Linked DNA regions of Arabidopsis thaliana. The protein of the gene in region 1 interacts with the protein of each later gene in a pairwise test. Each region holds a gene or a part of one and is shown on either strand. Other genes may lie near its edges.

Region 1 (6,856 bases):
AAATGGTTAAGCATAGGCACGTGTTCCACGCACACGGTTCGTCTATTATTATTCTTCGTCTACTTCACACGGAATAGAGATAGAGAGAGAGAGAGATCCAGAAAAAGACGAACAACAATGGCGTTGCAATGGCTGATTCTATCGTATGTGGTGGCCGTCGAAGTAGTAATCACCCTCGTGTTGACTCTCCCTTACCCTATGCTTCTTAAGAAACGTGTAGTTCAGCTTGTCTCATTGATTCTCCAACCTGCTGCTTCCATCGTCGCCTTCGCCGGATTTCAGCTCCTCGGTAACCTCCTCTCCTCTCTCTCGCTCTATCTATCTATTTCGTAGTCGGAATATGTATAGTTAGGGTTTTGAGCCGCGAGTGATTCTGTGGATTTGGTACCTTTGTGTGCTTTTGCTTATTTGGTTTTGATTTCATTCAGATATTTACTGGAAGGCTGAGCATAGACTATCTTGTTCATCTGAGGTTTGCACTGCTACAGAACGTGATCGCTACGAGAAATCTGTAAGTACCATTCCTTGATCACCTTTGTCTTTGATTCTTCTATAGCTGAATTCTATGTGTATGAATCTTTTTTTGAATAGTAAATTGTTAGATTTGTGAGTTTCATCCTTGTCATTTTCTCCCATCTTTAGTCTAAAGATCAATATTTGTTAGTAAAACTTCTGAGAATTGGCTTTCTTTGTCTGAGGAAGTTGCATAGATTAGAGCTACAAAACACTGTCTAACTTGTTAGTGTCAATGCATTTTTTTAGGTCTTACCCTTCATTGATGTACTCATATATCTTTTAATCGTAGTTCTAGCTACTGTCAAATAGCAACATGTGACTTTCTTTATACCATCGGCACGATTGTCATTCATAGTTCAGTTTATACTTTGCTCTTGTGAATTGTTGGCAATTGATTCTTGGTGAAGCTTCATCACCACTCTTGGATGTTTAGTTCATCCCTCAGTTTTCTGGTCATGCACTGTATTCAAACCTTTTTGGGTATGCAGTTGCGAGTCGCCAGGATCAATTATACATAGTGAAAAACTGAAAATCAAACACTTGGATATTTAATTCACCCCTTAGTTCCTTCTCTTTCCCTGAAATGTCTCAGCTTGCTTGCTAACGAGTTGTGCGTTTGCATTGTACCACAGATCTACAAGGCTCAGAGGAACGTGGTTCTATGCGCTGCAGGAATTCTACTCTACTGGTAAGTTGTAACATCATCAGCTATTATCAGTCACTCACAGACAGGGTCTCGCGTAGTTTTATTGATATCTCTTTTATTCATTGACAGGTGCATCTACCGCATCTGCAAATACAACAAAGACCTGGAGCGCTTGGAGGCAACGGAGAAGAGATTCAAGGAAGAGTAATAATCTTCACGAGTATAGGGAGTTGGTTCCTCAAAACCATTATATAAGTAAAGCTTTTTTTTATTGCATTTTTACGTTCTAATATTATTGGACCTGAATGAAACTAAGAGTATCGTGAACAGCCTTTGCACACTATATGTGTATATCATCAGTGTCCATTTCTTTGATCATATTTCAAGAACAACCTTAATTTTTCATGTCCAGAATTATCATTTACAGACACTAATTTTGTTAAACAACAACGATGCACTTCAAGATGTAAACGAGAAGAATAACACAAACTGATCGCGAATGTAGTATTACCATAAAATGGGTATTGATATTAGTTGGTCAGTTCACAGTCGCATATATTACAAACAACAAATCCCCAAACCCTCTCAAAGAATGTGGCACATCCTCATAAACCACAGAGGCCATTTCAGTTCAGTACGAAGTGATACCTTGAGTCTACATGGCTCTCCACGTCCCAGAGGAAAGAACCAAACGTCACAGCCTCCAACACAAGCCTCTTCAATCCCTTGAAGCTGATCTTGATATGCTCGTCCTTCGAGGAATCAATAGTGCCTTGTGGCGTTATCACAATCTCTGGCCTCCCAAACAATGCTTCTGTATGCTTCTCAATTATCCCAACCGATTCTCTAGATCTTATTGTAGCGTACCTTTGAAGGGTTTCTCCATCAAAGGACATAACGTATGTCTTTAACCGGGATTGCTTCATATCACTGCTAAAACCGCCACTGGCATTGATCCCTCCTACAAACGAACCAACGTCTTGGTTTGAGGAAACAGCCTGATAAGTCTCTTCTGCTTCTTCATAGAAGTTTCTCTCTACATCTCGGCCTGCTTGCTCAATGCTAGTCTCACCTTCATCTGACCCACCTGGGAGAATCCTCATCGTCTTCTCAAGCTGAAACCTTTGATCGATCCTCTTCAGGAAATACCCATACATCACCGAAGCAGCATATACCTGTCCAACTCCAAGTTTGCTTATCTGCGCAACTGCTGTCAGATCATCAGTGCGGTTTTTAAGAATGATGGAAAGATGATTCTGAATCATCTCATAAACTTCAGGCGAGTGAAGTCTCTCAAGTTCCCCATCTAGAGTTGGCCAAGTATCAACTCGACCAGATGGATCCGCAGATGAAGAGGTTATGGATGGTACAAGTGTAACATTAGCATCCATGAACTTCTGAACCACTAACGCATACAAAATCTCTTCCAAGGCCCTTCTTCTCTCTTTCTCCTTAACTTCAGCAATTCTCCTAAAGACCCAAGAAACAATCTAATTCAATATCCAAACCTATATAATAGCCGAGTGGTAATTAATATCAGCATATGACAAACCTGTAGAGAACAATGTCTGTTCCAAGGACAGAGGATGCATCTTTACTCTGTTCTTCAGCGTCTCGATCAATTTGGAGCTGTTCAAGCTGCTGTTCAACAGCTGCTGGAACAAGATGAGGATGGCTCACTAATATCTGTGACAGAAACTGTCCCACAGGAGACTTCAACTGAAGCGGCGCGATTGATTCTGTTGAAGCATCACCAGAAGCTGAAGCTTTAACCACAAAGCTTCTCCGAGATTTAACACAAGTTGTTCCGCTTTGAAATGGTCTCGAGAATTTAAGAGAAGAGTTTTGCTGCATACAGAGAGACAACAGATTCAAATTACAATATAGTCAAGCCAATTTTTTTACTTATGAGAAATTTACACGAAGAAACCTTAAAAGTTCCATTTTTTTACACAGAATCTGAATTCTCGAATTTCATTGGAAGATATACGATTATGGGGTAGATTAAGCACAAACAAAGATGATTCGGGAAAGCTATAAATGTCAATGTTGTCTAGGGTTTAGTAAATCAAACTCAGTAGAAATAAGACCTACTCTGAGACGAAATTGAGGTCCGGAGCTAATTCGCATGAAGCCAGGACAGTTGGGCGTCGAAAATATCAACCTTTCGGAAGTTTGACGCAGTAAGGAAGGAGATTGAAACAAATTCGCCGCCACAGCGTCCATGATTAGCCTCTGGGAGAAGCAAAAAGTCGGAACTTTGGCCAGAGAAAGGAGAAATGAAGAAGAAACCTAGAATGTAGGAGAAGATGATGTCGATAAATAGTGATTAAACCGGTTAGTGTGGATGGTTTATGACTCTTATCTCTTCCAATAATACCCACTCACGTTTTTTCTTTTGATAATTACGGGAAATTAATTTCGTAATTTTTCATGTTTGACACAATAGAAGTTGGGCTCATATTTATATTTCTCAAAGCCCATTAAGCGGGATTTTAGACCATTATGGGAAACATATATAGCCCAGAATACGACCCATCAAGACAATTAGGGTTTCTCTCGCCTTTCGCGTCTAAAAAGTTTTACCCCAATCGGTGTGTAAGAATGTCGTCGTCGTTTCTATCTGATTTTTCGTTTCTCAGTGATTTCGTTTAAAAAAAGTTATTTTGTCTTCTGTGAATCTACAATTTTTTTAAAAGGTTTTTCGTTTTTGCTAATAAAATAAGAAAAACGGTGGCGATGATGAAAAAAAGGCCGGACTTACGGCTACTACCACCGTGAAAGTGTGGTGGGTAGTAGAATGATGCTAAAGTATCCAAAGGTTACAGCTGAGCCTCCTCTTTCTACAACTTCACCCATTTTTATCCGATCTTCACTATTATTTTGCCTCAACTTCTTTCTCAATCAAAGTTCGGTTTAACGTTTCGGTTCGGTTCGGTTATATCGGTTTTCGTTTTTTTTGTTAAATTTTTTGGAAAAGTATGCTGAATTGATCCGATATTAGGTTCGGTTCGGGTAGGTTCGGTTTTCGGGTAATTCGGTTTTTAACTGGGTATGTGCAAAAAAAACCGAAATAACCGAACAGAAGGAAATACATAAAAAAAAATTGGGTTTGTGCAAAAAAAAAAATTCAACTGGGCCAAGCTAAAATACATAAAAGGCCCATTGTAAAACCATAGAAAATAAATGCAATCAGAAGGACAGTTTAATTTTTAACCCATTTCAAAGAAAACAATTCCAAAAAATAAAATGTCAGAAAAGAATTTTCTTTTAGAATAAAGACAGTGAAGAGATTTATTTCAAAGCCTGGGTTTAAGCTGCTGAGAGAACACAAAAAACCCTAACAAAAATGGAATCGAAAGCAATTTGCTTAGGGTTTCTTCCTCCAAGACTTCGATTTTCATCTCCACGTTTACTCTCTCTTCCTCCTTCTCCTCCTGTAAGTGAAATTTAACCATCAAAATTTCATTTTTTTCCATTTCGATTCTTCCAAAACCTTATCCTAAAATTTGTCAATATCTCCTGATTCTATAGGCTTCTTCCACATTTGCGACGCGTCACAAACTTGATTCCAGACGTAAGTATCTCTATCTTAAATCCTCCTACTTCACCCAGATTGTAGCATAAAGACTGATCCTTTTTCTCATTTTCATTCTTGTTTAAGAAACCCTCCTTTGGAACAAACCGCAATTGAGCCGAGTTCGTGTAGCGTGTTCTTCTTCTCAATCTGACTCAAGACCTGAGAAGAAGCAATCGGATAAGAGTAACTATGCTCGAGCTGAGCTGTTCCGTGGGAAATCAGGTTCTGTTTCTTTCAATGGTCTGACTCATCAGCTGGTTGAAGAAAGTAAACTGGTTTCAGCTCCGTTTCAAGAAGAGAAAGGTTCTTTCTTGTGGGTTTTGGCTCCTGTTGTTTTGATTTCTTCGTTGATTCTTCCTCAGTTCTTTCTAAGTGGTATCATTGAAGCTACCTTCAAAAACGACACTGTTGCTGGTAGGTCAGGTTTTACTACTGCTTTAATGTTTAACATCGGATTATGACTTATATGAATCCTAGGAAGGAACAAATGGAGTAGAAGCTATCTATCTTAGTGGTGTTACATCTGCTAACTCATTATGTTTTAGTGTAGTAGGCTTTGGCTTTGAGGTTTTGATAGGCTTAGTACATGTTTTCTGATGTGCAATATTAGAATCCTTTTTTTCACTATTATCAAGAACACATGACCTGAGCCTTAGAAAGTACCTAAACGAGATCTCATAACTCTCCTAAAGCTAAGAGACTTAGCAAATGATCTATCTCTTGTTGTATGATACTCATTTTGATGCTCTCTCTTATTATAATTTCTTGATGCAGAAATTGTTACTTCTTTTTGCTTTGAGACGGTGTTTTATGCTGGTCTTGCGATATTCCTGTCTGTGACTGACCGAGTGCAGAGGCCGTACTTAGACTTCAGCTCCAAGAGATGGGGTCTGATCACTGGACTGAGGGGATACCTTACGTCTGCATTCCTCACGATGGGTTTAAAAGTTGTAGTTCCCGTATTTGCTGTTTACATGACTTGGCCAGCTCTTGGAATAGATGCTTTGATTGCAGTGCTTCCTTTCTTGGTTGGCTGTGCAGTTCAAAGAGTTTTCGAGGCTCGGCTTGAAAGACGTGGCTCATCCTGTTGGCCCATTGTTCCAATAGTCTTTGAGGTAAACTTATATTCTGATTTTGACCATTTTGGTCTTAAGTTTGTCTGCCCATCTTCTTGTGGTCCATGATGTTGTAGTCTTGTTTTGAGTAACTATGGTTGTGTATGTCATGGCAGGTGTATAGGCTGTATCAGGTGACAAGAGCAGCGACTTTTGTTCAGAGGCTGATGTTTATGATGAAAGATGCGGCAACGACTGCTGAAATAACAGAGCGAGGAGTTGCACTAGTTGGTTTGGTTGTGACTTTGCAGTTTCTAGCTGTTATGTGTCTCTGGTCGTTTATCACTTTTCTTATGCGCCTCTTTCCTTCTAGACCTGTAGGTGAAAACTACTAGATCTCAGTGTTTAGTGATTGTTAGATGTAGCCAAATCCCATCGGTTTTGTTTTGTTTCTGTGTTCATTTCAGTAGTAATGAATTGTATTAAGTCACTTTAAGAATTGGTTGATCATGTGAAATGAGAATTGGCTGGAAATGTTATAGAACGATCCTACTTAACTTCAGTATTTGATGAGATTTCTTATTGGAGACTCTTGTGACCCCTTCTCTAAAGTTTCAATGTGTGAAATCACAACATAAGTAACACAACAATAGATGGGTCTGGTCTCAGCTTGTGTTTTGGTCCTTTGTATGCAACAATAGAGAAGCTGAATGCTTATCCACGTGGAAGATTTGTGCCTCCGATAGGTGTCTTTAACAGTGTGACGTGTCTGTATTGTTTCATTGATGAATCTGTTACACCGTTGAGTGATTGATTCTCAAATAAATTGGTCCCAAAGCTTTTTATCAATATGTGATGGTTATTAATGGATACTTAATAAAAGATGCCATTATACTAATCAACGATTATTGTTGAGAAAACAATAAAATAGGATCTCAAGAGAAATAGCCGCTTCTATAAAAATAGTGAGAGTGACTGAGATCAATAGAACCAATCTCAGAATCATCTTCTTTCTCTTTCGGAACAAAAATGACGTCTCCTCTCTCAGATCTCCTAAAC
Region 2 (6,988 bases), 7.1 Mb from region 1:
TCGATGATGATAAAGCTGCGAATGAGCGCTCAATGACCTCAGCTGCTTCCCCTTCACCCAATGCTGATGGAGATGGTGAAGATGATGATGATGTCGTCATAGGCGAAGCCGATGAATTCAACGCCACTGCAGCCTCTTCTCCACCTGTTGATATGGAAACAGAGGATTCTACATCAAAGCATCCTTCTGAAAACCCGAGTGAACCAGAACCTGAAAAGTCACCTGCTTGGGTTGAGTGGAGAGAGACCTCTGAGTCCACCGCACCACCTTCTTCCAACCCAGAGGAGACTACCATATTGTCCAATGGTGATGTTCAAATTGAGAAAGAGGATAATGATGATGATGATGATACTGATAACAAAAGTGCAGTGAAAACACCAGGTGTACCTGGCGATGAAACCACAGAGAAGTTACCAGATGAGAGTGGTGTTGAACCCACTGAGAACTCACCAAAAGCTAGTGGCATTGAACCCACAGAGAGCTCACCAAAAGCGAGTGGAGCTGAAGTAACTGGAAACTTGAGAGATTCCGATCCTGCTGAATCTCATGCGGATGCTAAAAGCTCTGAACCTGAAAGCCCTCATGGGACAAAAGAAACAGAGGTTGCAGCAGAAGCAGATACCAAAGAGACCGAAGAGGCTGTGAAGGAACCAGAGAAGGTAGTGTGAGCTTTTTACTTAACCGGGGGTCTCTTTGACTGATAAAACAAAATTTCTTCTGGTTTAGTTTGATTAAGGGCTTTGTCTGTTTTGGGTACAATTTATTATTCTATTTTTTTCTTTTCCTTGTTTGTTTACTTCATTGTATCATCTCCAAATCCGGTATTTTTTATTCAACATTATTGTCGACCAAAATTTGTTACTAGCTTTTCATATTTTATTAGTATAATCTTTTACCTCAGCTAGACTCATCAAGTGTCTTGTAAAGTTGTTGCTATTAATTTTTCACTTGTTCCTTGTTGTTTGATGCTTCTGTCGTGAACAGAGAAATCGATTCTGTCATCGCAACAAGAGCAAAAGTCTTTCGAGTAGACATTGTATATTTCGGAGATCTTCATACCAAAACTCAAAAGAATTGAGAGCTTGGTCTAGACGAAAACCAGACACAAAAATTTGCATCATGAAAAACACTCAAAGAATCTTTACATGAGATATCTGAGCTTGAGTTTGGATATTAACGTTGGCAAATCTCCATTGTGGAGAATTGAAATACTAAGCTTTCATTATCCTCCAGAATCTTCAAATATACATCAAGATATGAAAACAAACAGTAATGACTAATCATCTACGTCAATAAATGTATCATTACCTTAACTTATTAATGGAAAAGTCTGCTAAATATGGAAAGTTTATTGATTCTCTCCCTTGCATATATAAGATTTAACGATGCCTATGTACAATTTCTTTTTCTCCATCTAGTTACATAGTTTAGGGTTTGCTTCTTCTTCTTTTCACCAAGCTTCCTTCAATGGCGAACCCAAACCAATCCGTCCGGGTACTTCTTCCCGTCTCTCAATCTTTCAATCTATCTCTCTCTCTCTGTTTTTCAGTTGCTAATGATTTTCTGTGTATATTTTTGCAGACGTGCATACTAAAAGTCGATCTAAAGTGTTGCATTGGTTGCCAAAAAAAAGCAAGCATGAAATTGCAGAGTATCTCTGGTAAAAAATACTTCAAAGCTTTTAATTGCGTGGCTCATATGTCTTTAAACATGATGATTTAAATACTTTGTTTCCAATGGAAATAGGTGTAGAGGAAGTGGAGTATAACATCGAAAAAGGGCTCATGACAGTCAGAGGTGACGTAGAACCCATGGCTCTGGTTCGTAAACTTAATAAACATGACAGAAAAACAGAGCTTTTCTCAGTCAAGTACCAGCTTGATGATGATGATCTAAACAGTGATTCAGAAGACTACTCTTCTTCTGACTCTACTAATTCATCTTATGATCCTAAACCCATGGAACGTCAATTCCAAGAGAAGATGATGCAGCAGAAGAAGAAGAAGTCTGGGATACTAAAAATGCTTTCTCTTTTATGGTGTTTCAGCAGTAAATCAAAAGTTGTTCAGCCTTTACCGATGCGAAACCGAAACTGGCATGTCCCATCAAAGTTTGAGAATGTTCCTCCTGGCTTTGGCTTCAATTCTACTACATCGTCGCAGTTGCGGCCTCCGCATCCAATGATGCCCTATCCACCAATGATGCAACCACCAATGATGCAGCAACAACGACCACTAATGATGCAGCAACAAGCACAAGTTCCAATGCCACCTAATGTTAACATGTTCCAGTCAGCACCCCAACCGTTTAAGATGCACCCTAAGTTGCATTACGGGGAGCAGAAACAGGTTGTCACCTAAGCTACTTGTTCTGTTGATTATGTCTCTGATACATATACTAAGCAAAAGAATTGTTTTTAAGTTTCGTATCTTTTGCCAATTGCCGATAGTGAACATTTCTCAAGTCTGGCAAACTTTTAAAACAAAAGAACAAGGGTACATTTTGAATTCATTTATGTGTGATTCTCTGCATCTCCCAAACCTGGTTCCATAAACATTTGGATAAGATGAGCTTTGTTTGTGTCACGGAACAAGAATCTCATTCATAACCCAACAGAGAAAACATAAATAACAACTCAAATCTGTGCCTATTGCTAGTACTAGAATCTATTGTTTTTGATACAGAGATTTCTCTTGGAGAATACTTGTCTTGAGATTTGTCTGTTGTGCTTGTGCATCATGTTTTCCTCCGATTTAATGGTTGTTTTCATGTTCGCCCTCCAAATCTTTCAAGTATCCCATGAACAAAAGAAACCCGAAAAGGAAGAATCCACCTGAAGAGCTCCCTCCACCGCCTCCGCCACCACCACCACCACCATCATCCCGAGGTGGGAACCCGTTTCCACCGTCATCAAGCTTTGGGGATTTAACTTTTCCTGATATTTAAGTTAAGGCTAAAAAAATAAATTCTGAAGATACAAACAAGAATAGACCAGTCCGTTTCTGTTAAAGCACATTCTCAAGAATAAGAACCATAGCAAGCCACAATTTGAGTTCAAAATAACTGTTTCATATTAGCTAGAATCGTATGGTTTTTTAAGCCCCTCTTGTTTGTTAGAAACGCAAAATAGTTGTTCAACATAGAGAAGGGGATGAAACAATTTACCATGAGTAGGAGCTTGTGTGATTGTTGGTGATTGCCGTGTAACGGTCTGTGTTTGTCCTTGACTGCATTTTGAATTCTGCAGAAAACAAATCAGAATAAGTAAACAGCTAGCGTTTCAGAGACACTTAGGAAGAGAATACCGGAAAATAAACTATTATCGGCCATAAGAGCAAAAGGATCTTGTTCATAAAACAAGCAAAATGGCTTATGATGTGTAATTAAGTTATGTGAGCAAAATGGTGTGTGATGAAGTTATCCCAACAGCTAAAGATTTAAAACACTTAAACTTAAAGGCTGCAAAGTCATGAATGGAACCTACCAGCGCAGAGTTACATGCAAAGACTGGTCTTTTATTCTTAGAGACGACAACTGGTTGCACTGCATCCTGGAGAGAAGGGAATTTACTTTGGCTCCAAGGCTGGCGTTGCATAGAAACGCTTGTAGGATAACGCCTTTGAGAGTTTCCTATTACAGACAGCAAGTAGAAGAAGAGCTTTAGAATTCCATTGTTCATTCAATAAAAGCAAGCTCGAACGATGGGACTAAAGCAAGAATCAATGCTACAACAACACTCACTAAAGCTCTGAGATATCAATAACAACAACAAGTCTAGTTTCTTCAATTTGTCAAGAGCAATCCAAACTCAATTTCAAAGAATTTTCCAAAGAAGCAATTGTAAACTTAAGAGCCAACAAGTGTTGAGATTTAGAAGAGACATACCATTACTCGTAAAAGATTTCTCACGAGGAGCGAGGTACACCGATGTTTGTGTACCAATACACAATGATGGATTCATTACCGGCATAACTACAAACAGCAACAAAACAATAATCTTTAACCTATTTCACAAGGGAGAAAAATAAAAAAAAAAATCAATTTCTCATAAATCGAATAGAGAAAAAAATTATGGATTCATCAATTTTGAAATTCGATTAATGATAAAAACCCATAGAGATTTGGATCAAAGCAGGTAGATTTTTTGTCGAGGAAAAATTTGGGATTTTGGTTGCTCCTCGAAGCTTCTCGATCATAGAGGACGAAACGCAAATAAATAGTTTATAAGAAGAACAAAAAAGATGAGGAACGTGAATCGCACCTGAAGACTAAAACGCAAAAAGACGGAAAAAACAAAGATCTTTCTTAGGGTTTATGTAAAATTCTCGCACAAATCAATTTTAAAGCGTTGGCTTCTATTGCAAGAATCTAAATAGCCCAGAAAATAAAATAAAAGGACAAAATATTTCTCCTTTGTTTGTCGGTTTTTTATTTTCCAACAAAATGATATTTGTTTTATTTATTATTACTAAGGCTGATCGGAAAAAATTAAAAACCCTAATTTGAGCAGATCTTTCCAATTGAAAGCGAACCGTGAATTTTGAGTCTCTTTACCGGCGGCGAAAAAATGCTTGGTGGATTATACGGAGATCTTCCTCCACCGACCGATGATGAGAAACCCAGTGGAAACTCCTCTTCCGTCTGGTCAAGCAGTACCAAAATGGCTCCACCTACACTTCGCAAACCACCAGCTTTTGCTCCCCCGCAAACAATCTTAAGACCTCTCAACAAACCTAAACCTATCGTTTCGGCTCCGTACAAGCCTCCTCCTCCTTCGAATTCATCGCAATCGGTGCTTATTCCGGCGAACGAATCAGCACCTTCGCATCAGCCTGCATTGGTTGGTGTGACTTCATCGGTGATTGAAGAGTACGATCCAGCGAGACCTAACGATTACGAGGAGTATAAGAGGGAGAAGAAGAGGAAAGCTACGGAAGCTGAGATGAAACGAGAGATGGATAAGAGAAGGCAAGAGGATGAGGAAAGAGATAAGAGAGAAAGAGAAGAGAGGGAGAAGGAGAGAGAGAGAGATAACAGTGATCCGTCTCGGTTGAATATCTCCGGTGAGGAAGCGTGGAAGAGACGCGCTGCTATGAGTGGTGGTGGAAGTGGTGGGAAGGGAAGATCTTCGTCTCCGCCGGGGAATGTTGATGGGTTTAGTATTGGGAAATCGGAGACGAGTGGGTTAGGAGTAGGAGCAGGTGGACAGATGACAGCTGCTCAGAGGATGATGGCGAAGATGGGATGGAAACAAGGACAAGGGCTTGGGAAATCAGAGCAAGGGATTACTACGCCATTGATGGCTAAGAAGACTGATCGTAGAGCTGGTGTCATTGTCAATGCTAGTGAGAATAAATCTTCTTCGGCGGAGAAGAAGGTTGTTAAGAGTGTTAATATCAATGGTGAACCAACCAGGGTTTTGCTTCTTAGAAACATGGTATGCGTTTCAATAACATCTCTTATCAGCTTATGGATTCTTCAGTTCTTGAGTTTGGATGCCACAGTCTTAGTTGAATCAGTATTAGTAGGCCAAAGTCAATTTAGAACTTATTCAAATCAAACGTGTTGTTATACTAGGACACACTTTGCTACAATGATTTAGAACGGTCTGTTAGAATGATATTAATGTATTCCAACATTTGATGTGGTCTTAGTTAAGAAATTGTTACTGCTAATTGTTGGCAGCATGTGAGGGCGTAGTATTGAATTACGGTTGACAAAGATGTCTCTGTGGAAATGGAATTGAGTAATGGGATGCCATTGGAAAGTAGGACCTTTTGTGACTATGTTGATTTTTTCAAGCTATCGTGAAGTTAAAAGCTTTGGCAGTTTTGTGATGATAATTCTTTGTTGGTGAAGCTTGTAGCTTAGAGTGTTACTTATGTTATGGTAGCCTAGTACACTGCTGGATTGTTATAGAATTTAGATTGCCTACTCTTTGGAAACAACAGTTTAAGTTACAGTATCTTTCCCTCAAATAGTCAAATAAGCATTTGGAACCGTACTTTGGTTTTTGGGGATAGCCTAACCTGAGGCTTTAAGCTTGGATTGCCAAATACTAGAGAGTTGACAAATGAATCCGTAGGGGTTGGCATTTGATGAAGTAATTTTTATGGTTCTTGGATTACTGTAATAACTCGCAAGATCTATTCTTTCTGTGTTTTTTTTTTTCATTTCTTGACTAATTTTTGATGGAAATTCCAACCATGTAGTTATTGGTATGTGAATGAATGCATCTTCACATTGATTGTCATAAACGTAGGCACATTCTTGTTATTCTGATTGTTTTCACCATAACAAGTACTTGTTGGAAAAATCGTATCTTCCTTGTCTCATGTATCAATTCTGGTTGACCCATCACCTGTTTTCTCTGTGTCTGAAGGTTGGGCCAGGACAAGTAGATGATGAGCTAGAAGATGAGGTAGGAGGCGAGTGTGGCAAATACGGTACAGTCACTCGTGTACTGATATTCGAGATCACTGAACCGAACTTCCCTGTACACGAAGCAGTAAGAATCTTTGTTCAGTTTTCAAGACCCGAGGAAACAACTAAAGCCCTTGTAGACCTCGATGGGAGATACTTTGGAGGAAGAACCGTACGTGCAACGTTCTATGATGAAGAGAAATTCAGTAAGAACGAGTTGGCTCCAGTTCCAGGTGAAATCCCTGGCTATTAATAACTCCTAAGACAAAGAAGAAACTTCATCTTCTAGGAGATTCTTGTTAGAGAAAGAAACCATAGATGAGGTTTTAAAAACATTTGTAAAGTACTTAGAAATCTTGGGATTATCTCTTTATTGTTGTTCAAAGTAGCTTCACAAGGATCAAGAAATGTTCCTGCTTTTTCTGTCATGGTTTGATTTAACATATGAAATAGTCACAATCCAGTACTAATGGGTCATGAGACAATATAGTAACAAAAAAGACTAATGGGTCGAGTGTATACGATTCGAGTTAATATCGAGTTAATAGAATTTGGGCTACTAGGC

The links.
Region 2: the proteins of AT1G48450 (region 1) and AT1G30475 interact in a two-hybrid assay, tested with the Arabidopsis thaliana proteins (one large-scale study listed by BioGRID).

Annotation. Positions count from the first base shown.
Region 1 is NC_003070.9:17,906,958-17,913,813, forward strand, and holds AT1G48450 (alanine-tRNA ligase, putative (DUF760)), read right to left. Parts: upstream 3,517-6,856; 5' UTR 3,389-3,516; coding exon 3,257-3,388; intron 3,011-3,256; coding exon 2,715-3,010; intron 2,633-2,714; coding exon 1,789-2,632; 3' UTR 1,745-1,788; coding exon of another isoform or gene 1,701-1,744; 3' UTR 1,546-1,700; downstream 1-1,545. Other genes in the region: AT1G48440 (B-cell receptor-associated 31-like protein), read left to right, coding at 118-289, 429-511, 1,149-1,204, 1,292-1,370; AT1G48460 (tRNA-processing ribonuclease BN), read left to right, coding at 4,512-4,601, 4,697-4,739, 4,827-5,156, 5,517-5,857, 5,974-6,192; GLN1;5 (glutamine synthetase 1;5), read left to right, coding at 6,827-6,856.
Region 2 is NC_003070.9:10,785,748-10,792,735, forward strand, and holds AT1G30475 (uncharacterized protein), read right to left. Parts: upstream 4,197-6,988; coding exon 4,112-4,196; exon of another isoform or gene 3,973-4,111; coding exon 3,886-3,972; intron 3,631-3,885; coding exon 3,485-3,630; intron 3,242-3,484; coding exon 3,166-3,241; coding exon of another isoform or gene 3,074-3,165; exon of another isoform or gene 2,936-3,073; coding exon 2,754-2,935; 3' UTR 2,479-2,753; downstream 1-2,478. Other genes in the region: AT1G30470 (SIT4 phosphatase-associated family protein), read left to right, coding at 1-668; AT1G30473 (Heavy metal transport/detoxification superfamily protein), read left to right, coding at 1,468-1,494, 1,582-1,660, 1,747-2,360; DRT111 (D111/G-patch domain-containing protein), read left to right, coding at 4,568-5,437, 6,383-6,676.